7 linked regions of the Mus musculus genome follow. The protein of the gene in region 5 interacts with the protein of the main gene of each other region in a pairwise test. Links are inferred from orthologs where the notes say so. Each region holds a gene or a part of one and is shown on either strand. Other genes may lie near its edges. The genes, in order: Ube2v1, Dtx2, Rbfox1, Ubash3b, Fam168a, Ss18l1 and Sf1.

Evidence for each region.
Region 1: the proteins of Fam168a (region 5) and Ube2v1 interact in binary tests that used the Homo sapiens proteins (3 or more experiments, as listed by UniProt). The two-hybrid records come from large-scale screens. The link is inferred for Mus musculus from reciprocal best matches to the Homo sapiens genes FAM168A and UBE2V1.
Region 2: the proteins of Fam168a (region 5) and Dtx2 interact in binary tests that used the Homo sapiens proteins (3 or more experiments, as listed by UniProt). The two-hybrid records come from large-scale screens. The link is inferred for Mus musculus from reciprocal best matches to the Homo sapiens genes FAM168A and DTX2.
Region 3: the proteins of Fam168a (region 5) and Rbfox1 interact in binary tests that used the Homo sapiens proteins (3 or more experiments, as listed by UniProt). The link is inferred for Mus musculus from reciprocal best matches to the Homo sapiens genes FAM168A and RBFOX1.
Region 4: the proteins of Fam168a (region 5) and Ubash3b interact in binary tests that used the Homo sapiens proteins (3 or more experiments, as listed by UniProt). The two-hybrid records come from large-scale screens. The link is inferred for Mus musculus from reciprocal best matches to the Homo sapiens genes FAM168A and UBASH3B.
Region 6: the proteins of Fam168a (region 5) and Ss18l1 interact in binary tests that used the Homo sapiens proteins (3 or more experiments, as listed by UniProt). The two-hybrid records come from large-scale screens. The link is inferred for Mus musculus from reciprocal best matches to the Homo sapiens genes FAM168A and SS18L1.
Region 7: the proteins of Fam168a (region 5) and Sf1 interact in binary tests that used the Homo sapiens proteins (3 or more experiments, as listed by UniProt). The two-hybrid records come from large-scale screens. The link is inferred for Mus musculus from reciprocal best matches to the Homo sapiens genes FAM168A and SF1.

Annotation. Positions count from the first base shown.
Region 1 is NC_000068.7:167,608,006-167,611,505, reverse strand, and holds part of Ube2v1 (ubiquitin-conjugating enzyme E2 variant 1), read left to right. Parts: intron 1-1,076; coding exon 1,077-1,202; intron 1,203-2,258; coding exon 2,259-2,405; 3' UTR 2,406-3,500. UniProt on the Homo sapiens protein: Has no ubiquitin ligase activity on its own. The UBE2V1-UBE2N heterodimer catalyzes the synthesis of non-canonical poly-ubiquitin chains that are linked through Lys-63.
Region 2 is NC_000071.6:136,025,800-136,029,299, forward strand, and holds part of Dtx2 (probable E3 ubiquitin-protein ligase DTX2), read left to right. Parts: intron 1-670; coding exon 671-808; intron 809-2,699; coding exon 2,700-2,773; intron 2,774-3,264; coding exon 3,265-3,423; intron 3,424-3,500. UniProt on the Homo sapiens protein: Regulator of Notch signaling, a signaling pathway involved in cell-cell communications that regulates a broad spectrum of cell-fate determinations.
Region 3 is NC_000082.6:7,068,519-7,072,634, forward strand, and holds the start of Rbfox1 (RNA binding protein fox-1 homolog 1), read left to right. Parts: upstream 1-1,316; 5' UTR 1,317-1,480; coding exon 1,481-1,567; intron 1,568-4,116. UniProt on the Homo sapiens protein: RNA-binding protein that regulates alternative splicing events by binding to 5'-UGCAUGU-3' elements. Regulates alternative splicing of tissue-specific exons and of differentially spliced exons during erythropoiesis.
Region 4 is NC_000075.6:41,025,563-41,029,062, forward strand, and holds part of Ubash3b (ubiquitin-associated and SH3 domain-containing protein B), read right to left. Parts: intron 2,578-3,500; coding exon 2,455-2,577; intron 781-2,454; coding exon 688-780; intron 1-687. UniProt on the Homo sapiens protein: Interferes with CBL-mediated down-regulation and degradation of receptor-type tyrosine kinases. Promotes accumulation of activated target receptors, such as T-cell receptors and EGFR, on the cell surface.
Region 5 is NC_000073.6:100,705,410-100,709,434, forward strand, and holds the start of Fam168a (protein FAM168A), read left to right. Parts: upstream 1-1,225; 5' UTR 1,226-1,484; intron 1,485-1,723; exon of another isoform or gene 1,724-2,250; coding exon of another isoform or gene 2,251-2,259; intron 2,260-4,025.
Region 6 is NC_000068.7:180,059,483-180,062,982, reverse strand, and holds part of Ss18l1 (calcium-responsive transactivator), read right to left. Parts: intron 1,074-3,500; coding exon 954-1,073; intron 1-953. UniProt on the Homo sapiens protein: Transcriptional activator which is required for calcium-dependent dendritic growth and branching in cortical neurons. Recruits CREB-binding protein (CREBBP) to nuclear bodies.
Region 7 is NC_000085.6:6,362,367-6,366,489, reverse strand, and holds the start of Sf1 (splicing factor 1), read right to left. Parts: upstream 2,801-4,123; 5' UTR 2,403-2,800; coding exon 2,372-2,402; intron 1,971-2,371; exon of another isoform or gene 1,784-1,970; intron 827-1,783; coding exon 698-826; intron 1-697. UniProt on the Homo sapiens protein: Necessary for the ATP-dependent first step of spliceosome assembly. Binds to the intron branch point sequence (BPS) 5'-UACUAAC-3' of the pre-mRNA. May act as transcription repressor.

The sequences.
Region 1 (3,500 bases), on a different chromosome or scaffold from region 5:
CAGTAGGTGTCACTGTGTGCATAGGAGCAACTGCTTTGTGTGCAAGACTCCTAAGGAGAGGGTGCCCCCTGCCTGATAAAGAGGCGTGGCCCCTGGTCCAGGGCACAGGTCCCATGTGGAAGGTCTCTGCAGTGTTGTCTTTAGGCACAGTCACAGAGTAGGGTGCTTGCAGCCAGGTGTTCAGGGCTGTGTGATGTTTCCACTCGGGGTGGATGTTCCACACATGATTGGGCTGGGCCAGGCACAATTTGCTGTTGAACATTACAGGTGCTGGTGTGGGCCTCACTTTCCTGTGGGTCTCTTTTTGTTTGTTGGTTTGGTTTGGTTTTTTTGAGATAGGGTTTCTCTGTGTAGCCCTGGCTGTCCTGGAACTCACTCTGTAGACCAGGCTGGCCTCAAACTCAGAAATCCATCTTCCTCTGCCTCCCAAATGCTGGGATTAAAGGCGTGAGCCACCACGCCCGTCTTCTTATGTATCTCAGTGAAGAGATGGTTGGATGGTTGGCTTTGTAACTGTGGGTAGAGGTCAGCAGACACCTTTTGTAGTCTTCCTCCTTCTGCTTTGACAAGCTTGCATGACAAGCCCCTTACCCTCTGAGCCATCCCCACAGCCCTCAGCAGTTGGTGTTTTCATTTATTCGCGATAGTGATATTCATAGCCCAGACTCCTAAGGCCTTCAAGGTCACTGTGTGCCTGTGGATGATCCTCAGCTCGTGGGGTCACAGCTGGGTACCATCACGCCCAGACACAGTTGACCTTTCAGAGTTGATGCTGTCCCTGATGGTCTGGTGCCTCAGCTGCCTGGCCTTCTGCTTCACTCACTTGATGCTGGTGGCATCTTAGGTCACCATGACTACATAAGAGAAAGAATGCTCTGAGGGCAGATGGCATATGCTACAGAAGTGGCCTCAGGTCGGACTCATTGACACTTAACCCTAGTTTCCTCCTGTGTCTGTCCTGTGCTTCCGTCTCTGAGGCACCCACGACAGGCAGTCTGGGGCAACGGTGTCTCCCAGGTGTTGGAAGCTGTACCTCTCTTAGGTCTCTGTAACTTGTCTCTATTCCTTTTTTCCAGACAATCTATGAAAACCGAATATACAGCCTTAAGATAGAGTGTGGGCCTAAGTACCCAGAGGCACCCCCGTCTGTAAGATTCGTAACAAGAGTCAATATGAGCGGCGTGAGCAGTTCGAATGGAGTGGTGAGTCCCCCACTGCCTGCCTGTAGGTTATCACGGTGCGCTTGTGTCTGCAGCGTTGGGCAGGGCCGCTCCATTGTGGCTTGTCACTGCAGGAGCCCTGCACTGGCTGTCAGCCGGGCGTGGTGGCGCACACCTTTAATCCCAGCACTTGGGAGGCAGAGGCAGACGGATTTCTGAGTTTAAGGACAGCCTAGTCTACAGAGTGAGTTCCAGGACAGCCAGGGCTACACAGAAAAACCAAGAAAAAAAGAGTGTTCAGTGTCCATGGCACCATGAGGTAGAGTTGGGAAGTTGGGGCTGAGGCAGAACTATTCCCATATCTTTACCTCCTGTGTCCTGGCCCCTGCCATGGGATATTTTTTAATACTGTTTGCTTGTGCAGCCCTGGCTGGCCTCCACCCATGGCAGCCCTCTGTCTGAGCCCCTGCATTAGCGTTGTCCATGGCCTTGAAGGCCTGACCTTGAGAGGTCAAGGTTGCAGCGCTGTCTACAACTGCAGCCCTCTGTAGAGCTCAGGCCTTACACAGGCTGGCCACACCTCGGCTGTAAATCCCCAATCTGTGTCTTGCTTGCTAGAGGCTTGGAGGCGCTGTGCCTGTCCTGTCCTAGGAGTCTTCAGAAGATGGGCCAGAGAAGTAGAAATTAGCATTCCTGCCACTTGTCCTATGTTGTTCTGTGTTGGAGCCACTTGTCCTATGTGTTACTGTGTCGGAGCCACTAACTCCTTAGTGACCTAAGAGACCTGGGCACCATGGCTGCTCTTGCTACCTGCCCCACCCTGGGTACACATTGGAGAAAGGACAGGGCATGGGCGCCAGGTGCTTGTTGGTCAGGATGGGCCCAGTTTGGCCAAGTTAAGTCTCCCTGTGTGCCTCAGGCTCTGCTAGTTTTCTTCATGCCAGGACCCAGAAAAAGGAGGCAAGACTGTCTGCAGGAGGGCAGCTTGGCCCAGCCCATGGGTTTGATGGGCCTGTGGGCTGGGCATATCAGCCCCGGGGAGGGCGGGAAGGTTTTGCTGCTGAGTCTACAGTAATGTGTGCATTTGCCTCTGCGCAGGTGGATCCGAGAGCCACGGCAGTGCTGGCAAAGTGGCAGAACTCCCACAGCATCAAAGTCATCCTGCAGGAACTGCGGCGCCTGATGATGTCAAAAGAGAACATGAAGCTGCCACAGCCGCCGGAAGGACAGTGTTACAGCAATTAGTCACCAAGGCCCCGGCCTCCCCTCCCCATCCAACCCAAGTCTTCATTTTCCACAGTAGTGAATTTTCTAGATACATCTGTAGACCTCAAAGTACCGGAGAGGAAGCTCCACTCAGCCTTCATCCTGAGACACTGTTCTGATACTAACTTCTCGTCCATTTGAAATACCTAAGTTGTGCTGTGTAACATCAACTGTTGAGTGTAACCGCTGTCTGCCTGGTTGAACTTCTGGGATCAAGAAGGTGTTGAAATCGGTTTCCTGTGGGAGCGGTGGGCACAGCTAACGCAACTGTGAACAGACACGTCACACAATCACCTGCTGCTGGCCCTTGGCCTGGGTCTGCCTTTGCCCGCCCCGCCCTCCGCCACAGCTGTGTGGTGGCCCTTAGAATAGATGGGAAGGCTTCAGGTAGCAGTTGTGGGACTGACTACTGCTGGGCTTGGGGCGCTTTGGCTGCACCCCTGCTTCTTAAGTCTTAAGTGATGCCCCATCCAAGCCATGGTCCCCACTCCTCCACTCCCACCCTTGGCCAAAGCTTAGATTGTAACCCTCCCCTCCCTCTGAAATTGGCCGCGGGTGAGGAATTCAGGGCTTCCCGTGTCCCCACCTTTATCAAGGGGTGCTGCTTCCCCTCCTCAACTCCCCTGTTGCCCATCACCACCCAACACTTGCTGTGGCCAGAAGCCATCAGATGAGGTTGGAATTGCCTGGCCTCCCTCACTTAGCTCCGGACCACACTCACCTGCCACCAGCCTGGGAAGGGAGCGCCGGGTCCTCAGCCCTGCTGCCACCGTCAGCCCTCGAGCTTTGTGCTCAGGTCTAAGGTAAACAGCAGTCACAGGGCGACTCGGACCGGCCAGCGCTCAGGGTCCTTGGTGAAAAGATGCCTAGAGAAAGGCCATGCGGAGTCCTCAGTGCACACGGTTCTGAGTTGGTTCCTTTTCCCATCATTGCTTTGCTTTTACACATTGAAGAGGTTTGAACAGGGCTCTCGTCACCCTGGCCACCCATCGGGTCTGATGTGGAGCCTGACAGCTGGAGCACGAGGCCCTGACCCTGCAGACTCAGGTTTCAGTGTTGCTCCTCAGACCCTCT
Region 2 (3,500 bases), on a different chromosome or scaffold from region 5:
ACAGTGAGAGCAGTCTTTGCCTCAGTTAGCCCAGTTAGTCTGGAGACTCGTGGATGTGTTCCTACTCCTGGTGATTCTGGAGCCTGCCAGGGTGACACAGTCCAAGGGCTGTGGGCAGCTGGTGGAAAGCATCTCCCTAGAGGCCAGATGATCACAAGCCAAGAGGGCACAGCCAGGCCAAGTGGCTCTAGCAAAGAGTCAAGGGAAGGCCCCAGGCTCTTGGAGCCAGCGCTGCTGGAACTACCTCCTGTTGCCACAGCTTGGCTGCACCTTGCCACATTCCTGTCTTTTCCTTCCCTGCTCCTGGCGTGGGAGACACCACTCAGGAGGCCCCTGGGCTGTTCTGCCCTTACTTTCTTAAAGCCACCATCCTTGTCCCTTACTCTGTCCCCGCATAGTGCGGGCACAGGCTTGGCTGTTGCTTGTGCAGACTCCTGGGGAACTTGGAGCCCAGGTTCTCTGGTGTCTGGCCTGGAGCACTGCACTGTGGTCTGGGAGGCACTGGTACCCTTCCTTGCAGTGGTCCGATCCCCTCTTCTGGGGAGATTGTGGTCTCAATGGCTGTGCACAGTGTCACCACTTCACTCTCAGCAGGGTCATGAACACCGAGTGTGAAATGCCTCCTTCTAACGTTTGTCCCCTCTGCATGTCTGATCTCGCACCCGTGCAGGCATGACGAGTGTGCTGTCAGCCATTGGACTCCCTGTGTGTCTTAGCCGTGCACCCCGGCCCACCGGCCCTCCCGCCTCCCGTCCGGCCTCTAAAAGTCACAGCTCAGTTAAGAGGCTGAGGAAAATGTCCGTAAAAGGTAGTTGTGGTTCACACACACTCTCAGCCCTGCTCAGCTTCCTCCACACCTTGCTGCCTGGACTCTCTTCTTTGCCCACCGTCCGTGACCCTTTTCTTCTGCATCTCTTCTCCCTGCCCTGTCTGCCAGCACAGGTGGCTACTGGCATTTTCCTGTCGGCATTGTTGGGTGATGGGCTTATCACCCAGGACAACTTTGCAGTGTTGGTGCAGATTGAGACACTGCTGTCTCTTCAGGGGGCCTCACCGACCTTGAACTTTGATCATCTTGCTGGCATCTCCCACCACGTCCGGTTCATGTAGCGTTGAGTTAGAACCCAGGGAGGGCTCGCTGCATGCCAGGCAAGCAGTCTACCAGCTAAACTAACAGTCCTAGTTGTCTGCACACACTTGTGTTCTGCCTCTGTGGAGGCAGCTTTGTGGGCTGGGCAGGCTGGCAGCTTTTTAGTATGGGGAAGCATACAGACACGTGGCCTTCTTGGGTGTAGCTGCCTCTCATGGGATTGATGTGGCTGGCCTGCCCACTTTGGGAAATGATGGTAACTGAAGCTCCTTTCAGCTCTTGAAAGCTGTGTGTGTGAGTGGGCAGCCACGTGCTTCGCTGGTCCCGAACAGAGGGAGGTCAGGAGCTAGTGCGGGAAGAGGGTTCCTGAGACCTGTAGCCACAGACCAGTTTTTGAGACAAACTATTGCTGTTTACCCAAGGTTCTTAAAGGCATTGTACCACCAGGCCTGACTGACTGGGCTCTTCTAAAAGGCTCCCTGATCCCCTCTATGGTAGCGATAGTACCCTTGGTCTTTTTGTCTGGTTTCTTTGCCAGTGGCCAGAATGTAAGTGTATGCAGGGATTGTGAGAGGTAGTGGTACGTGTGTGTGTGTGTCTCTCTGTGTGTGTCTGTGTGTGTCTTTGGTGAGGATAAGACATATGACGTATATAGTACCCTCTGCTGGTTTCTACATTCCCCAGGAGCTAACAGCTGATCCTCCTATCAGTGACAACTTGTACGGTCTCTGAGGTGGTCGAATTTGGTCATAACACATGAACTAGATCAAGCCTTCTGTCCCCTGACCCCACTTCTGTCCTGCCATGTGGCTGTCACCTGCCTTTCTAGCTGGAGGGTCTCATGGCCCAGCTCTTGGTTATAAACCTGTAGCCATGGCTGAGGGCTTCAAGATAGCCACAAACAGGAGCCCCGCTGTGCCCTCTGGTGGCAGGGTGGCCGTTTCATGCCCCCATTGTTCTCCCTGGTCCCTTCTCTAGCTTGGCTGAGACTCTTGAGACCCTGCTGTCCACTCTGTCCCAACTCCTTTGCTTCTTGGAGAGTTCTGGTCCCTAGCTCAGGGCTCCCCTAAGCCCCCACACACAGCCAGCCATTTCCAGGATCGCTCAGCTAACGAGCCCAGTGGGCTTGTGACCCAGATCCTCCAGTCCCAAGGTGGGGTGAGGTGCCAGCCAGCATTCTCAGTGCACACAGTACTCATGTGGCCCTTCCCACCGCCGCTAGACTGGAAACTACCTCTCTCACTGAAGTGTCCTCGGAAGTGCTGGCAGTGGACAGGCAGCACTGCCAGCGTCTCCTGGGGTGCTTTGCTCTCAGAACAAAAGTGTCTTTGACACTTCTGAGGTAGTTTCCTGGGGGACATGACTCAGGGGTACATGCTGGTCTGTTATGCATCCTTCGCTTCTGTGATCTCCCCTGGTGGCCCAGCCCCCTCTAAGCAGCTTGCCTGGGTCAGGTGTCCTGTGCTGACTCTCTTGTCTCAGCCCCGCTAACCTTTCCTCTCCGCAGCCGGAACTTCTGCCTGCCTGCCTGCCTGCTTCCTTCCTCCCTTAGCATTGCTCACCCCATCTTGCATGCCTGGGACAGCACTCACATCCCGTTCTCTTCCAGAAGGGGCGCCTAAGCCCGAGCCGGAGCAGGTGATCAGAAAGTACACCGAGGAGCTGAAAGTGGCCCCTGAAGAGGTATGTGTCCTGGGAGGGGATTCTGGTCCTCAGGGTCTTCCAGGGGCTGACACTGGGTCCAGCCTCTCATGGTTAGGTGGACATCGCTAAGATGAGGTGGCTGGAGCTCACTCTCACCTCATGGCAGAGCAGAGGGCGGAGGTCCTGAACAGTGTGCTTTCCCCTCCAGCTTGTCGGGTAGGCACAACTGTCGCTCTGCTCAGGAACAAGGTGGCCTTGTCTAAGGGATACCCTTTCCTCTCTGGCTCTTGTCTCTAGTAAGCACCATTGTGCTGTTGTTTTTGCCTCGTGGCCTGCGGGGTTTGGTCAGCTTTTCAAGGACGTAAGTGAGAGGTACCTATGTGGCCCTATGTTCTAGAATAGTCTCTGAGTTGACTTGATGGCCTAGCATCCCCTTCTTCTGACAGAGGCAGGACTTTGTACCTTGTGCTGGCTCACTGTGACCCATGCAGTGGGTCCAGTGGCAAGTGTGTGTCATGTGCTCCCTGCAGGACTGCATTATCTGTATGGAGAAACTGGCTGTGGCTTCTGGGTACAGTGACATGACTGACAGCAAGGCCCTCGGGCCCATGGTCGTGGGCCGCCTCACCAAGTGCAGCCATGCCTTCCACCTGCTGTGCCTGCTGGCCATGTATTGCAACGGGAACAAGGTACCACAGTTGGTCTGGGTGGAACTGCAGGGACCTGTCCCCATAGCCCTTTTGAACCTACTGCCTCAATATGGTGT
Region 3 (4,116 bases), on a different chromosome or scaffold from region 5:
TACACATACCAGCTATATAAAATCCCTTCACAGATGAAACACAGCACCAGCAAGTCTGCACCTACTCTGTGGCACATTTCTAGATCACATCTCACAGTGCAATGCCAGCTAGACAACTTACCTAGTGATTGTGTGTGTGTGGGGGGGCGGTTTAAACTCAACACTGCTTCCTACTAGCTGCAAAGTGGCTGCCTAGTGTGAGTCTGGATTCCTGTTGGGTACCACTTTGCTTCCTGGGTCTGGGAATTAGCCCCTGCATCCGAGATGTGGAAGAATGGAGCTCAATAACCCACAAAGCTAATTTACTCAGATTTCAGCTATTATTTTGTTACTCATGAATTGCCTTTTCAAACTGAAATTGGGTGAAGAAGGGGTGGAAAGTGAGCCCACTGTTTTGAGACAGTTTCATGTAGCTCAGGCTGGCCTTAAGTTTGCTATACAGCTGAGCTCCCAATTTTTCTATACCAACTTTCTGAGTTCTAGGATTATAGAGGCTATCCACCACATACTGAGTATTCTTAGATAATTTTTGATCAGCTACCCACATGAACCTGCTAGATTTGAGTGTTGTTGTTATGGTTGTTGTTGTTCTTATTTGTTTGGTTGTTTTTGGTTTTGTTCATAACTGTGGCGGAATGGGTATAGGTGTGAAAATGTATGTGCTGTGTTCAAAGGGTGACCTCCAGGTATCTTTCTTTATTGCTTTTTACTTACGCTTTGAGAGAGGGTCTTCCACTAAACCACTGTACATGGAAGTTTCTGTTTGGCTATGCTGGCTCGACAGTTGAGACCCTGCATTCTCCTGTCTCTGTTTTCCCAGTGCTAGGAATGTGTGACACATTGCCTGATTTCTTACATAGGCACTGGAGATCCAAATTCCAGTCCTCAGGCTTATATGGTAGTATACAAACTCACATAACAACCAGTTGCAATTTAGAACTGAAGTCTAGGCTCTGGTGATGATTTTTATGTGGGTAAATGTTTAAGTTCTTTAAGTTGCAACTGATTGTCATGTAAGCTTACACATTTCTATTACTTATTCTCTCTAAAAATCTCATGCAGACCCAGCCCCTTGCAATTTGGCCCAGTTCCTCAGGACAAATGCCTTCTCTTTTCGCCTGATTCCCTGTCACTCCATCTCCCTTGGTCTGAGAACTAAATTAATGAAGAGTATTTGGTTAGTCATGTTGGGCGAGCTGCTCCCAAAATAGCTCCTTCCATTTTGGTAGCTCCGACCGACCCTGCAGCTGCCGCGTCCCTTCCTTGTCTGGGAAGAAAACTTTCACATTAAGAGTTGCTGATGCAGGGTTTTGTTTCCTTTCCCTCTCCGCTGCCTGTGGATGAGCACTTGGCTCCTGACAGAAGTGATTTGGCTCTCGGCTTTGTAGTTGAGAAGAAGTTGGGTCTATAGATTTCTTTCCCCCTCTAACTCTCTATTGATGTGTTCAGCCTTGGAGGGAATAAAGCCTCCATTTAAAGCATGTTGGCGTCGCAAGGAGTCCTTCTGCATTCTTATGGCGTGCCCATGATTGTGCCTGCTGCCCCCTACTTCCCGGGACTGATGCAGGTAATTCATGGCTTTTGCCAGCAAGCAACTTAACTCCAGAATGCTCTAAGTAATAATTGGAATTTTTATGGTTGAGAAAGCAAACACTTTTAATACAGGAAGAGAAAAAAAAGCCCTCGTGTAGTCAAAGGAAAGACAGTAGGAAATCAAAAAGATGGATCACCTTAATCTGGCTATTGACATCTCTCATGGATGAATAAATGGTGTAGTTGAGCTGTATTTGCTTGTATTGATCTGGGTGCTGTTTAACATTCATGCCTTTGCTTCGGGAGGTTGACCAGGGGGCAAAAGATTTGCTCTCTTCCCTAGCTTTCTGAGGGACTGGGTCTCCCAGAGCAGATCATGAGGCTCAGTAACTTATCATGATATGGCTTGCTTAAAGGCTTTAACCCCGGAAACAGAAGGGCAGGAAATACAGAGTGCTGCTGAGGACACCCCACACAGGTTGTTGTTTGCAGAGAAGCTTCCCCTTGCAAATCTGAGAGGCGACCCACAAACAAGAGGGTACACTGAGAATGGTCTCGCTAGGAAGTTCAGAGGTTATTCTGCAAATTCGATGCCAACTGTTTGTATTCTCGGCAGCTGGGGAGAAGTTAGGATGCCTGTTGTTTTGACTGCTAAGGCTATTATTCTGTGTACCGAGAGGTTTGTGTGCTAGCGAGAAATTGGACCTGTTTCTTTGCCTTATTGTACCTCCTTGCTGTCACTCAAACCCACTGCTTCTGGGTGTACGCCTGCAGTTCTCTGGGAAGCCAACATCCACTTGTGATAGAAGTGGGTCATTGTAGGAAGCAAGTGGCTATTTGTTGCTGTTCTTTAGAAATAAGCAACCCTAAGTAATAAATCCTAAATCTCCTTTCTATGGGAAAGGAAAATTAAATATATGCAGTACAACACTTTAGCTTTTTTTCCTGTAGCCCCACTCCCACCCAGCCCTCTCTGAGAGTTCTACAAAACTCTAATTCATTAATGACGACTTCTGTGGAGGATTGAACAAATATTCTTTTTATTCTTTGACTGTGACTGTGACTGTGACCTTCTATTAACTGTCAGAAGCTGGGTGGCAGAATGCACCCAGACGTCAATCCCGATAGCATCAGAACTGCCAATTACCCTAGATGTATGGATACTATTGCTACACTTCTATGTTATAGGTAAATAGACCAGCAGAGAATGGCCCTGGCACCAAGGAAGGGAACTTGTGGCCAGATGGTGACATGAAACTTAGGACTTGAAGGTGAAGCAGAGTAACAGTGCTTTTGGCTTCTGTTGGAAATTTGGGGTGAAGGTCAAAGGCTGGAGTTTTGTCGGCCCCTGTGCTGCCCTATCCGATAAATAATTACAAGCAAATCGCTCATTTCAGTCCGTGCTGATTGATGCTGAAATTGCTTTTGAAAGTTCTCATAAGTTCCTGTTATAGATTAAGTGCTGGTGCAGGAGAATAACGGCACCCACAGAAATGGGTGAATGTAATCAGGTTTAATGGACTCGAGAGCTTGTTGGGAATTAAATAACTATCGATTTGCTGGGATGTTTCTGTCATTACAAAATGCCACTCTGAACGTATTACCCCAATGATAGATGAGAAGACGCTAGAACCAACTGCAAAGCTGGGAAGGCACTATTTCTTCCTCTTTGGCAAAATGTTCAAGAAACATAACTGGTTAGTGTGGAATGGAGCAAGTTATTTTACTTGCAAATGTTAACCTGATCCATTCTCATTTGTTTCCCAAAAGGAAACTTCTGAACTAGTGACCTACAAGTCCTTCTGTGTGTGTCAGTGAGGAGCCTCCGATGAGCTACTGGGACCCACTGCACCCTTCCCCTCTCCTCCACACAGAGCACACTGCAAGGCTGTGCACATGAAGGTGCTAGCCTTCTTGCTGCTTTGTGGAGGCTCAAAGAAACTAAACCCCCTCCCATTGCAGTTTTGTTCTTAAGGAAAGGATGTGGTATGATAGAATAGGTAGGAAATTCTAGTGCCTCTTTACCTTTCAGCTTGCACTTCCTGCCCTAGCTACCTTGGCCCTTAGCTTGAGGAGTTTCACCCCGAGTCAGGAATAAAGGCCCTTTTGCCAGGATTCAGATTTCTTTAGCAACTTAGTGATTCCAGCAAGACAAGAAAATGAAGAGGACTATGGACTCATCTTTGCTAGGATCCCTTGTGCCTGCATAGTTGGGAACAGCATGAATGGTTATGTGCAAGGGCCACTGGCGAGCTGCTTGAGATGCTGTTCACAATTTCACAGTCTTTCTAAACTCAACAGCCAACAGTTCTGTGGCCAAAGATGTTCCTTTTTGAATTGCTGCCTGAGACACTTTTGAAATTCAGGCCAGTGTGGCTTAATTTTTCTGCAGTTAAAGAAAAAATAATTTGCATTTTTTTTAAGTTTTAAGAGAGTACCTGACTCATGCTACAGTCAGTACCTACAGATGTGTCCTTACGTGTCTAGTGAGGTCCCTCTCATGGCCTCTTCTTTAAAGTCAGTCCCATAGTTAACATGGGATTTCCATTCCTACTTTCTGTTTCTCTGGAAAACCAGTGTCAC
Region 4 (3,500 bases), on a different chromosome or scaffold from region 5:
CCTTTCATCCCAGCATTTGGGAGGTAGAGGCAGGTGGATTTCTGTGAGTGTGAAGCCAATTTGGTCTATGCAGTGTGTTCCAGACCAATCAAGTCTACACAGTCAGACTATGTCTCAAAAAGTAAAAGAAAGGATGAATAAATGAATGAATGAATGAATAAGTCTTTCCACTTAACTGAAGAAACTAAAATGGTGATGGTGTGGAACACTCAACAACTCAGTTACTACAGAAAATATCTAGAAATCAGGCAAGATCGTCTCACTGCTTAAATGCAAAAGGAATCCTCTCTGTAAAAGTTATAAATCTTCTGTCCAGCCACAATCCATCTAAGACAGCTTAAAATCCTTAAGGAAAACATAGTAATATTCTCCCTTTATTTATCTGGATTATACTGTGTAAGGTTGTCACCTTGCAGAAGAAACCTCAATAAAAGTTCTAGATTTCTGCAAGCCATGGTGTCTCAAGCCAGTAGATCCTAGCATTCAGGAGGACGAGGCAGGAGGATTGCTGTAGGTTCAAGGATAACCTAGGCTACATGTCACCTTGAAACCCAGTCTCAAAAACAAACAAACAAACAAACAAAAAAACAAAGTAAACTTTCCGTTTTTGAAACCCCATAACCCTGCAGTAAGGGGCAGGAAGCAGAAGGATGGAGCATGTAACCTCTGTCCAGCCAAGAGCCTTACCTTTCAAAATATTATGTGCAGTCTGAACGCAGCGGAGGGATGGTGAGCAATACACGTGATCAATAACAGTATTACTTTCTAACAAGGCTTCACCTGCCGAGTAAATCAACAGACAATCAGCATGATGGTTGACTGATCATCCTGACCCTCACTGGAATGGTGTCAAGAGACCCATAATCCTCTCTTTCCCAGTAGGAGCTTGCAGAGAGCCTAGTAGTCAGGCCCTTCAATAGTGCATCCATGGAGAGGGCCAAACAACGGGCCTCTTCCTTTTCCTTTCCTTCTTACTGGTGCCAGCACACAGTAAAATGCCCTGTTAAGGGAGGCTACAAAGGATAATGCTCTGACCTCTACAAGGAAGATGCTAAAACCAGGGAGAGAACTGATACTGTAACAGTCAGACATGGCTACAATTCCAGTGTGCTAGCCCCAATCTCAGCTGTCCAAACCCAACATCCACTGCTCTGATGCTTTACTGTTTGTTTCCTTGTGTGGATCACTTCCTTTCTCTACAATGTAAACTTTAAGTATCTTCATGTGGTGTCAATGTCTTCCATGGACTTGCTCATCTTGCTAGCTCCTTCTCTTGACCTGCCTCAACCTCTGCTCTAAAACCAAGAAGAGCTCATATCCCCTGTACGCTTAATGCTACTTATTCTTACATATTTATGAAGGGGGGAGGAGAGGGAGAGAGAGAGAGAGAGAGAGAGGGAGGGAGAAGAAAAAGAAGAAGGAGGAGGAGGAGGAGGAGAAGGAGAAGGAGAAGGAGAAGGAGAAGGAGAAGGAGAAGGAGAAGGAGAAGAAGAAGAAGAAGAAGAAGAAGAAGAAGAAGAAGAAGAAGAAGAGGAGGAGGAGGAGGAGGAGGAGGAGGAGGAGGAGGAGGGGGAGGAGGGGGGGAGGGAGAGAGGGAGAGAGAGAGAGAGAGAGAAAGAGAAAGAAAGAGAGAGAGAGAGAGAGAACTCACTGACCATGTCTTGCAGGGATCTCTCAATGCTATGTCTGACCTCTGATTTTGTTTATTGCCCTCCACACCAAGAACCAGGCCCCTCTCCCTCTTCTTCACTCAGATGACTCTCACTGGAGGCCCCAGTTCACCCTGCCTCTTAATCATCCTTTCTTCCTCCTCCCTCCATCCCTCTCTTGTTTCATTCTACCCTTTGTCTTTCTTTAATATTCTTCATACACTCTGTGTAGAGTTTGCTATTTAGTCAGCCTTATAGTTTGATAGTCACCCACAACACATACGTGTGTTTCCATGGAACTTCACCCTTGAGTCTCTGTTACCTAGTCCAGGAACTTGCCCAAAGTAAATGATGACCTTAGAGTACAAGGCATGGTTTCTGCACAACTGTTAAAACCAGTACAGAAATACTTTCAAAGGACTGAACAGCTTCAAAACATCACTGGACAGATTCAGCAGTGCTCCTGCACCGCCTCCTTAGCCTCACATCTTCTTATACCACGCTGGCAGATGCTGCTGTCATGAGCTAGCAACATCTACTACACCAGTAAGTAAACCAAACCTGACTTTCCTTCCCTCATTCCTCAGCGGGGGACACATCTGCAACCAGCAGGAGCCTACCTGCAATCCCAGTCCTCAGATGGCTGAGCCAGGAACATCTGATGTTCTAGGGCAGCCTGGTCTATAAGACCCTGTCTCCAACCAAACAAACAAAAAGGCAAGTCCCACAAAGCGTGTTTGCACCCCCGCGGTGCAGCTCTGTTGAAGGAGCCAGAAGATGCTACGCAGTCACAGAGAGCCCTTACCCACTAGTCTTGCTTGCATACACCCAAACACAGTGATTGGAGCATCTTTCTCGTAATCCCGGAAACCGCCGCTCCTCTGAGGTAAACTGTGAGGCATGTTCAGGTTGGTGCGTATGTAGCGGCCTAGGGGGAGAAGATCAAATAAAGGCTATATAGTCTTCTGTTTACTCGAAACTTTCTTCTGTGATTCTGACCCCTCCTCCTCCTTGGTCAAAAGACACTAATCAAACCATCTGAGGGCAGTGGGGAATACTCAACCTGACACCTTTTCCTCAGAAGACGACATAGACTCCACTACCGCCTGCTGATGACGGAAACGAGGGGATTGCTCAGTAAATATAACAACTAGATAAAGGCAAGACTCCTAGTCTCAAAATGTCACTCGAGGGAGAACTGAACTGGATGGCCCCACGGTGATTTAAGGCAGGAATTCTGGCCACAGAGCCAGTTCATGTCTCTGAACTGATTCTGCTGTATGGGCGTAGGCAAGACACGGCTACTCTTTGCTCCTTGGTACCTCAGTTTATAGAATGGGGACAAGAATGCTTATCTCTCCCCTAAGAGTTGAAACAATCAAGAAGGACTCTGAGATTCCAGGCACTTTCTAACTACGTCAATAATGACTCATTGTACATAAAAGTAGCTTGACGGTGCCCCCTAGAGGCCGAGACAGGTATGCATTGCTGTGTAGGCCACCAACCACCAGCAGTCCTCCTTAGACACAGGAGATGCATCACAAGAGCCCCACTAGATGCCTGAAAGTGTAGACAGTGTGAAATCCTGAACACACTATGTTTTCACCCATCCAGACACCCCTATGATAACATTTAACTTATAAGTCAGTCACAGTAATGAGTGAGAATAAATGATATACTGTAATGTAAGTTACAGTCTTGCACAAAACATCTTATTGTATTATATACTCTGGCTTCTTATGAAAGGATGCTGTATCTATGTGATCAAGTGAGGAGAGGCAAATGGTACTGTGACACTCTGGTAGAAGACTTGAAAACCTGGGTGGTTTCAAACTTAGTAGGTGGGTAGCA
Region 5 (4,025 bases):
GTAGGTGGGAAATCAAGAGGTTGTTGTATTTGGAATATCTATAGCTGTATCTGTGTGTGTGCGTGCAAGCATGTGTGTGTGTGTGTGTGTGTGTGTGTGTGTGTGTATGCATATGAAATAACCTTTTATGTTTAAAAAACGGTGTGTGCTTCCTTAAACAATTCAGACAGTATAAAAGATAAGAGGAACCTGAAACCTAACAATTCTTTCTTTAAGATAATCACTGATAACATTTTGGAGAATCTCTTCACTGAAATCTTTACGCTTTTATATCCTCGAACTTCAAATAAATCGAACCTGTCTAATCTTGCTGTTTTTGCTATCAATTTGCCCCTCTGACAAGAAATTGTGAAAAGCCTTTCATGTCTAAAGATATTTACCATCATTTTAAATGGCTGCTTAGCATTACGTTGAATACATACATCACTATTTATTAAATCAGCCCTCTATTGATGAATATCTACATCCTTCTCAACTCATATTCAACAACCTCCTATAATAACCGTGGGCATTGTTTTCCAAAAATTTTTGATAATCTTTTTAGATTAAATACTTATAAGTAATGTAAATGTAAACAAATGTGCTTTTTACATGAGGATTTAAGTTGCAGACTTGTCCTCTGATTTTCAGGGATGCCAGGGAAGCTGATGCAGCATTAGTTCTGGCGAGACAGTGACAACGGAGATGGCGAGGAGAGTACAGAATTACAGGTGATGTAGCCAATCTAGGCCCAAGCTCAGTGGGTTGGAATAGTCCTTCCCCTTTTTCTCTCTTTCACTTCTTTTTTTCTTAACATGGAGGAAGGACTGAGAACTGCATGTCCCAGCATTTCGCAAGGACCACACTCCTGGGAACTGTAGTACCGGGTCTGAGAGGGGTCCGGAAGGAGAGAATGGGAAACTGTGTGCGGCATGCTGGGAGGTGTAGTCCCTTGGGCGGAAAAGAGTGCATGTGTAGGTTGTTTTGCTTCATGGAGATGAGGCTGCGGAAATATCCAACTTCCCTCCCAAGAGGCCTTTGAGTTTACAAAAGCCCGTGGGAGTCCATTGTCTGTGACCCAAGAGGGTGCGGTCCAGGACCGGAGCAGGGTTGGGAGAACCAGGCCGCGCAGGGCCGTGGCAGAGCATGCCGGGAGTTGTAGTTCAAGAGCTCGGAGGCTGTGGGACGTGTCGGGACAGCGCGCCGACTCCTCCTCCCCCGCCCTTCTCAGCGGTCCCCCGCCCCCTCCCTCCGCCTCCTCCTCTCTTGCCTGCAGCCGAGCGTCCCCTTCCCCCACTGTCGGGTTTCTCCGCGGCTACTGCAGAGGATTCAGATCTGAGTAGCTGAGGAGAAGGAGGAGGAGGCTCCCGTCCCTGCGCGCCATCCACCACCCTACTGGACACGGACGAGGGAACGAGAGCGTCGCCGCTGTAGCCTCCAGAGAAGACAAGGGCATCGCCGCTTCAGTTGCGGCCGCCGCGGTTTTCGTCTGCAGCAGCTCGCCGGTGAGGAGACCCCCCCTCCGCCCCCCGGCCCGCTCCCGTGGAGCCAGGGCTGGTGGCGCCGGGGAGAACGAGGGTGGGGGCTGTAGGGCCCCCGCGCCGGCTTGGGGGAGGGGACCGAGGTGGCGATGGAACGGCGGGCTGGTGGGGGAGACTTGTCCGTACGCGGGCTGGGAGTGGGGTGAGGGTGGGACAGCAGCAGGTCAGGGAGGGTAGCGGAGGGGGGTGAGGGGGTAGGACTTTACATGGAGGGATAACCAGACCAGGGATAGGAGCATGGGGTGTGTAGGGTATTGAGGTGGAATTTGGGATTGTCTTGGGGCGAGGTGGAAGGTGAGATTGGAGTGGGATGTCTTTTAATGGGGGATGGGACTGAATGAAGGTGATGATTTGGGGTTGGCCTGAAGCAGTTGACAGCTTGTGATCAGAGCGGGGTGGGGGCTAAGGAGATGATTTCAATGCCAGTGGGATATAAACGTTGGATGGGACTCTAGGGAGTGCTAATTTTGGAAGGTGGGACTTGGGGTGGACCTGGGGAAGGAAGATGGAGATGGTAGGAGCTGGGGGTGAGGGCTTTGGCATGGGTTGAGACCCCAGCTTGAAATGGGCTGTTGTCTTCTGGGGATGATGGAATTTGTGAATACTTACGGAAATAGGGCTTGGAGAGAACAGAAGAGGTAGGAATTGTTTGGGGTTTTCTTGAGGTAGGCTGCTGCTGGAGGTTTGAATTTGGACTGGTAGTGATGAGACCTCCAACTACAGGAGATGGATGGATGAGGTAAGCTGACAGGAGGGAGTGAATTGTAAGTTGGGCCCCAAATAGGAAGACAGGGATTGAAATTGGGGATGAGGGCTCAGTGGAAAAGGATTTAGGATGAGTTTAGAGTCTCTGGAAGGAACAAGGTGGCTCCCCTGAGCGGAAGTTGGAGGTAGAGGATATGTCAGACTACTCAGCTGGACTCAACTAAAATAATTCTGGCAGGTGTCGAGCAAGGTTAGTGGATGGTATCATAAAGAAAATGTCTCTCTGCCAGTTTTGCAGAAGAAATGTCTGTGATAAGCTGGTTACCTGTGGTGAGGTGGCAGCGGGGATGGAGTGGGTCAGTTTATTTAGGAAAGGAAGGATTAAGATGTCCTCCAAGACACACCAGAGGTTTAGGGGTTAGAACATTTACATCAGCTGCTTGGGTGAGAGACAGTAATAACAAGACCATTAGAAGGGTCTTCACAGGGGACAGAGAAGGTACATTAAAGATTCTCCTAGAGGATATCTCATGCTATCAATTTGACCTTTTTGTTTTACGTTGGAATTGTCTGGAAATAGCAGCCCCAAGGGTAAAGTTATGAGAGAGCCATTTAAGGTAGAATTAAGGGAGAGTGGGGAGTCTTGCAGTTCCTATGTCAAAAAGGGAAAGTTGGGGGCTCTCAAAGCAAAGGTGGGAGAAGGTGAAACTGTCTCTGCTTTCTCCTTTCCCCCTCCCCCTGGTAAACTGAAACTAGTCCCGGAATTTGGAATTTAAATAGACTTTGATGAACTTGAGGTTGTTAAGGGTGCATTCTTGCTTGAGAACTGATTAATGAGACTGAAAAATAGGAAGACTGAATTTATTTTCTAGGCAGGCAAGGTGCATGTATGCAGAAAGAGGTTAGCAAGCCCCACCTCCCCCCAATAAAATTGATTGCTTGAAGTCTCCATTTATTGGTGTCCTGGTTTGCAAGGCAATTAGGCCCATCATTGTATTGCAGGCTAATAATCCTGAGATGAGTCTTGGCACCATCACTTTATGTAAACAGAGAGAAGACAGGAAATATAGAAATGTAATAAATATTCATTCTTTGGTGAGATGGTTTGGTACTGATGGAATTTTTCATTCGATTCTCTTGACATGATAAGCTTTTAAATAATTGGGCTGTTTCTACAAATTGAATTTTCTTCTAGAGAAATTCAGGTGATCAGAATTCTGTCAGGTGTGAATAAAAAGTGTAACATGCAACCATATTTTGTTGTTAAGAGGATGCTGTTGATGTAGGCACACTGCATAAGAGAATAACTGCATCTGTTCATCAGAAATTTGATGTAAAGGTTGTCGATGAGTTTATTCTTGGGGTTGGAAGGCTCAGAGGAATGTAAGGAGGGTATGTCTTCAGGAAGACTGTTTTCAGGTTTAATTTCATTAACTCTAATATGTTAAACTTGACGTGGCTGTTGATTAGAGTGTAGTCTAGGGAAAAAAGAGGAGAAATGGAAAGGAGATAAAATTGATCTCAATGGGAATTAAAAATACTTTCTTTTTTCTGTTAACGTTTTAGTGTTCAGCTAGAAAGCAAAGCATTTTTCTTGGTATTTATAATCGAACACATAAAAATGCCCATTTAGAGGGTGGATTATCCATGGAATTAGAAATGTCTTTTTTTTGAATTAATTTTTTTTAATTAGGTATTTTCCTCATTTACATTTCCAATGCTATCCAAAAAGTCCCCCAATACCCCCCCCCCACTCCCCTACCCACCCACTCCCACTTTTTGGCCCTGGCGTTCCCCTGT
Region 6 (3,500 bases), on a different chromosome or scaffold from region 5:
GACTAAGGTGAAGGCTCTGGAGAGGATTGCTAAAGTCCCCACATCTGTTTAGTTGTTATATTAGTGTGTGTGTGTGTGTGTGTGTGTGTGTGTGTGTGTGTGATCACCACAGATGGCAATACTCTGCCATGGAGCTGCAGTCCAGCCCAGGGAGACTTTCAACGCCTCATGGCCTGCCCGAGGCTGTTCTTTTCCTTTTTTTTTTTTTAAAGATTTACTTATATGTACATGAGTACACTATAGCTATAGCTGTCCAGATGGTTGTGAGCCTTCATGTGCTTGGTGGGAATTGAATTTAGGACCTCTGCTCGCTCTGGTTAACCCTATTTACTCAGGCCTTGCTTGCTCCGGCCCAAAGATTTATTTATTATAAATAAGTACACTGTAGCTGTCTTCAGATGCACCAGAAGAGGGTGTCTGATCTCATTAAGGGTGGTTTTGAGGCACCATGTGGTTGCTGGGATTTGAACTCAGGACCTTCAGAAGAGCAGTCAGTGCTCTTAACCACTGAGCCATCTCGCCAGCCCTGTTTTTCTTTCCTTCTGCACATATATTTGCACATCACTCTCATCAAGCAGAGGCCAGAAGAAGGAGTCAGATCTCCCCTGGGACTGGAGTTACAGTCAGCTGGGATCTACTACGTAGATACTGAGAACCAAACCCAGGTCCTCCGCAAGAGAATAAAGTTCTGTTAACAGCTGCACCATCTCTCCAGGACCCAATGTTGGTTTCTGATTGTGACCACTGTACAGGGATAAATGATGATCTTAGATACAGGGAGGCAGGTACTGGGTACATGGCAATCCTTTAAAACAACCCCCAACCTCTCCAGAGATCAATAGCCACACCAAAATAAGCCTACTCAACATCTGCCTAAACAGTTCCATCACAGTGTACGCGGCCCACGGCAGACACCAGAGGGTCCTCTGTGAGGAGACAGGCATCCCTCTTACCGTAGCCCTGCTGCTGCCCCGGGTAGCTCTGCTGGTTGGGATACTGTTGCTGGGAGTAGGTCTGCTGCTGTGCTGTGCCCTGCTGGTACCCAGCCTGCTGCTGACTGTACTGGGAGTTTCCTGCAGAAAGAAGGGGCACAGTTTCATTTCTGGGCAGTGCAGGAGGCTCCCTGTTACCCACAGGACAGTGAGTAGCCAAGGAATCCTTTCACCATGTCTCCAGAGGCAGTATGTTCCCATGATGGCTCAAATATCATATGGCTTTGTTTGTTGTTTTTTTTCGAGACAGGGTTTCTCTGTATAGCCCTAGCTGTCCTGGAACTCGATCTGTAGACCAGGCTGGCCTTGCACTCAGAAATCCTCCTGCCTGTGCCTCCCAAGTGCTGAGATTAAAGGCCACCACTGCTCAGCTCATATGGCATTTCTGTTTTAATATTTTATAAAATAAGATCGAAAAGCCAGATAATATAAAATGGGTGATGTAGCTGCTCAGGTGACAGTTCTGCGCACTGAATGATCAAGTTCCACCGCACACATCTGACTGTTAGTCGTCAAGGTCACTGGATTTACAACCACACAACCCAGTCTTGTCTGTGAAGGTGTTTCTTGAAAGGCTGAACCAAATGTATGTGACACCAAGTCATGGCCTGGGGTCCCTGAATGAACAGAGGAGAAAGGAGCTGAGACACCTTTTGTTCCCTCTGCTTCCCAACTGTGGATGCAACAGCTGTCGCAGGCTCCTGCCACCACGGACTGTACTTGAAACTTTAAACCAAAGTAAACCCTTCCTAAGTTTCTTCTGTCAGGTGTTTTGTCCCAGCAACAAGAAAAGTAAAATACAGCCTCCAAAGTTACCTTTACTTCCTAAGACATGAATGGGACCTTAGTCAGAAACAAGATCTTCAGTGGATGCCAAGCGTGAGGGTCTGCGTGAAGCCAGAGAAATCTGAGCAGATACACAGAGGCCACAGGACAATGCAGGTAGAGTCTGGAACATGTCTCTCCAAGCCAAGAGAGAGCCAGACTGATGGCAGGCAGCAGATGCTGGAGAGGCCTGGTGCAGACCTGCCCTGAGCTGGCAGAAGGTAGCTCTGAAGACACCTTGACCTCAGATCTCAGGCCTCCAGAGCTAGGAGGGGCGAAGGCCTGATGTCCCAAGATGCCCAACTGGTGCCCTGAGAGGCTGTACATCAAATGAGCAGAGCACAGCAGAGGCTTGAGAGGAGTGCTCTACCTACTAGGGGTTCCGTTTTGAAGGAATAAAATGTAAATAAGGTAGCTGGTGAGAATCGAGTCTGAAGGGCTCAGTGAGACCAAGCAGGCAGAGTCAAACCTGTGGGCTAAATCATATGACATGTGACATAACAGTGTCACATACACAGACACTCACCTCCATGTGGAGTTATTCTAAGAGAGACTATAGGTCAATTATTAAACATTTCACCGGGCAGTAGTAGCACAAGCCTTTAATCCCAGGACTCAGGGTTAGGGTTAGGGTTAGGAGGGAGGCAGAGGCAGGCAGACCTCTGAGTTCAAGGTCAGCCTGGTCTACAGATAGAGTTCCAGGACAACCAGGGATATACAGTGAAACCTGGTGTGGAAAAAACAAAAAAAACAACAAAAAAAAATCCAGGAGAAGCCGGGCATGGTGGCGCACGCCTTTAATTCCAGCACGAGGCAGAGGCAGAGGCAGGTGGATTTCTGAGTTCGAGGCCAGCCTGGTCTACAAAGTGAGCTCCAGGACAGTCAGGGCTACACAGAGAAACCCTGGCTCGAAAAACCAAAAAAAAAAAAAAAAATCCAGGAGAGATGGCTCAGAGGTTTAAGAGCAAGTGGCTACTCTCCCACAAGACCCAAATTTGGTTCTCAGAGTCCATTAGGTAGTTCACAACAACCTATAACTCTAGCTCCAGAGGATCTAACACCCTCTTCTGGTCTTTAAGGATGGCCCCAGTGAGGGTGCACATGGCCACACACACATTTTTTAAAATAATAAATATGTACTATGCATGTATGTATGTATGTACGCATGCGTGCTAAGTGCATGCTAAGTCCTATTGAGCCCCTGACTCTCAACTTGCTCAGGGACTGTGTCTCTCCTCTTACTTCCACATTCCATGGCATCCCATCAGTGATGATGCCTGTCAGCCAGGAGGAACACACACATTTACACCACGGAGGGGCAAATGCTATGAAGCAAGGCTTTCTGTCTCAGAGCCTCACAGCAACAGCACACAGCTGTCCCTCTCCCTCCCATTCCCACAGCACCATGAAGGTCTCCACACTGGGGCTACAAGCTCTTAAAAAAAGCAGCCATCCTACTAGCTCCTGGGCTATTAAGCTGGAAGAATGGCCATGTTTGTCTCCCAGCAGCAAAATCCCCAACATGGTCAAACTCTGCACTGTTTGCCAAATGCACGAGGCAAGTGAAGCCCTGCAGCGCAGCCCGCAAACCCAACTCCACAGACCTACACCAATGACGCGGCTGAGACGCGCTGGAGGCCAGCACTGCTAGGTCGAGGGGTGTAGTGTCTGAACCACTGTGCC
Region 7 (4,123 bases), on a different chromosome or scaffold from region 5:
TTTATCAAGTGCACTTTTTGAGACAGCAGGACAGATATAAAACTTCCATTTATTATGACCTTGGATTTTAAGTAATTTTGAGGTTTAATTCTACTGTGGACAGTAACCTAATTTTTTAAATTCTGCCACCACTTCATTTCAAATCAAACAGTAAACCCTTCCCAGCAGAGTCCTTTAGTGGTAAATTACAAGAGCCTGTTTTAAGACAGCTCTCTAAAGATGGAACAAGAAAGGATACTGAAGGGAAGGATTAAATTCAACAAAATGGGTAAACTATAAATGCTTTCCGAGCCACTTTTTGCTTAAACTATTTTGTACCTATAAAAAAACGAAACCACAATTTTAGGGAAAGGGAACCATGACATTATGGTGAAAGGCCATGCTACAAAAAAGCAACTGGTTTACAATACCTGCAGTGTTCTCCACTGGGGCCTGTCCAGAGAGGAAGATAGCATTCACCTCACCAATGAGCAAGAACAGCAGCTGAGAAGGGGGCTGCCGAGCTAAGAGCAGGCCCAAACAAGAAGCTGCAAATGCAGGACTGGCCAAGCAAATCACGGATTACACAGCTATGAAAGCATAGCTCATCACACCTTGTTCCCATGACTAAAATCTTAAGACTTTCAACAGGTTCATCACTCAGAACAATCTGCAGTAACAATCTGAAGATGCACCTGGATGTAGAACGTGTATTTACCTATGTAAGCTCTTTCCTGTTCCCGAGTCAGTCCAGGGGGTATAACTGTAGGCATGCCTGGAATCACTGTCTTCTGCTCCATTGTGTCTTGGTTCCATCGGCTCCTCTTCCTCTTCTTACTTGGGAAGTCTAAAGACAGACAGAGCCCATCAGGCAGAAATATGAACCAGAAGGCAAGCAGTTCATGATAATTAAAACTAAACTGAAATCACCTAAATTTTTAAAAAGAAAGAAATCTCAGAGGTCAGAGAAAACAAGCAGCCATTTTAAAGATCCTCCTGTCAGGAAAGTTAAGGAACAGTTCACATTTAGTTCTTTTAAAACGAAAATACTAGAGAATGTAACAAGGAACACATTTCTTTTGTAGTGTTAACATCAGAGTTTTTGCATATATTGGGTAAGAGCTCTACCACTGATGCATATCTCCAACTCTTTGGATCTTTTGTTTGTTTTTTGAGACAGAAGTCCCTTTAGAGAACCCTGGCAGTCTTAAACTATGTAGACTGGCATCAAACTCAAAGCCCCACCTTCCTCTGCCTCCAGAGTGCTAGGATTAAAAGCATGAACCATCATGCCCTTGCTTCCAAGACTTAATGCACAGAAACCCAGAATCAGAAGTGTACAGATACATATTATCAATTCTGAATGCCTTAAAGGGCAGAAAAGAGGAAACTGGAATGAGGCCCACAAAGCATTGGAACTCAAGCTACAAGAGTACACAACAAATCTCTTGCTACACATTACTGTGGGAAACATGCCATCCTTCAATATGACCATTCTTACTCGTGGAAAGATCAGTTTTCCTGACCAGTGGACACTTGTCATCAGAACTCTGATTTATTACATTCTTCCCTACATTTACCACACAAGGTTTTCTACTTCTCAGATTACAGGCCCAGAGAAAAAGCCTTTTAAAACAGCACGGGGAAAGCTGGTCACTCTGAGAACCTTCTAGAAAACAAAAGGAGAAAACCTTTAATAAATGATCGAACTCAAGCATCCCTAGTAGCCTTCCGAACTCGCCTCACTGTGAAAGGAGACACTCCTGCCACGGGGCTGCTAAAAACCATCAAGGGAGCCACTCACACCACGTCGTCCCGTGGACCTGACTCTCCTGTCCTCCATAGCAGGAGCTCAGGGGGCAACAGGTGGCTTCTTCCAAAACTACCACAATTGCGCCACAAAGCCTGAACGCCTCACTGCGTCTGCGCGAAGAACGCTTCCTCCCGCCCTTCTGGTTCTCGCGGTGCGCGTGCGCAATCGAAGCCTCCCAAACCAGGCCGCGCGTTCCCCGTGGCGCGTCCGCCCGGGCCTCCCGTGCGCGCGCGCGCGTCCTCGCCGCGTCCAACCGCGGTGGCGTTGCCCCTCCGTCGGCCGGTTCGGTTCGCCCGACGACTCTCGCGCTCTATCGGCCCGACTCACCTCCGCCGCCACCGGGCTGGCCCGGCTGCTGGTCCTGGCGCGGAGGCGACCCTCGCTGAAAAGAGCGGCGGCGGCGCGGGGGCGGCTGCTATGGCGGGTACGAGGCCGGGGGCGGCGGCGGTGACGGCACCGCCGCTAAGGACAAGGCCGTGGTTAGGGCCCCCGGCAGCGGCGTCCCGAGCGCCAATAGGCTGGGCTTGAAGCTGCCTCTGGGCCCAGGAAGTGGGGAAAGGCCTGGTAGGCCCAGCTTACCCAGCGGCGTGGCGTTCGCTCCGGTCGCCATGGCGCCCCAGGGGACCGGCAGCAGCGGTTCCTCGTCCTCCGCGGCGACTTCTCCTTCACGAACCTTCCGGGAGCTGGAGGTGGGGGGGAGGGGACCCGACTACGCGGCTGAAGAGCGCGGGGAGCCCGTCCTCTCACGCGGCGGGCGGCGGCGGCGCCAGACGCACAAAGAGGGAGGAGAAAGGACGCCGCGGGGGCGGGCTCGGGGCGGAGGGGCCGCGGCCTGGATTGGGCCGGCCCGAGGTGAGGTCGGAGGCAGCGGCCTCCGATTGGTGGAGCACTGGCTCTTTTCAATATGGGTCGGGATTGGCCGAACCGTTAGGCCCGGCGACGAAATGGCGGCGGGGCCGGGGGAACTGGGAGGTGTCGCAGCGCGCACTCCTTGTTACTGCGCGGACTGAGGCCAGAGTGGCAGGGGAATAGGAGGGGGCAAAGTCTGTGACGTGAGAGAACGGCTAGCTCATTGGCTGAAACCGATGGAGGTAAGCGCCTCGGCGTCGTAGTGCCACACGATTGGCTGAAACGATTCCCCTCCCCCAGGAGCCAGCCGCTCGAGAATGGAGAAAGCCGGGAGGAGAAGCCGGAACCAAGGCGGAGAGCAGGGGTGCGCATGCGTAGGGAGGGCACGCGTGTCCCCGCCCCCTTCCCCAGAGGGGCGGAACGGAGGCCTTAAGTGACGTTAGTCATTGTGCTAGAGGTAACTAGGGACCGCGGCGAAGGGGCGGGCTCGAGCTGACGAACAGGATACGTCGAAGCTGCAGGTAGAGTAGAGAAAGACTTCCTGTTTTCTCTGAAAAATAGTGTTACGAAATGGCTCAAAACTAGGGTAGTTGGTGGGTGTATTTAAAGACTTTATTTCATTCCGGTACAAGGTAGCCAAGTAGCCTGTCACCCGAGAACTTGAAAGGCTGAGACAGGAGAGCTGACATGAGTTTGGGGCTAACCTGGGGTACAGTATATCTGTCTCAAAAAATCCAGGTTCAATGGCACATACTAACTCTTGTAAAGGAAAAGTCAGGCGCTCCAAGTCCTTCTTGGAGAGGGGAGAGAAAGTCATTTCAAAAGTTAGTCTAAAAGTGTGCACTTCCAGGGAAATCTCAATGCGTTGGAAATTTGTTTCGGGTACCTTAAAATTACCCATAAAAATGGTAGGGAACTTGTAAATGAGACTGAGGCCAAACATTCCTTCCCATGAAATAAACATGAGAGTAATGAAACAGGTTAGCACAACATAATAGAACTGGGGATAGATAGGGTTCTCACAGAGAGGTTATTTAGACCCAGTAGGGGAAACAGTGTTTAATATGTAATTAGAGTGGCTAGAGAAATAGCAGATAAGACCAGGCACTGGCTACTCTTCCAGAGTCCCAGGTTGGATTCCTAGAACCTAAATGGTGACTCACAACCATCCGTAACTTCAGTCCCAGGATATCAGAACCCTCTTCTGGCCTCACAGGCACTGCATATATATGGTGCACAGACTTATATGCAGACAAAACACCCATATACATAAGACTAAGTAATCTTTTAAAATGATGTAGAAAAGTAGACATGTAGACAACAGAAGGTTTGGAGTAATCTAGGAATAAAGAGACTACAAAGATAAGAAACTCAAGTATGGTGGATGGTACAAGTCAACAGACTATGACAGGTAGGGAGGAAATGGCCATAGAACAGAGAAAGAGCAAATGTCTGGGCAGAAAATACAATTGAGTGGTAGAA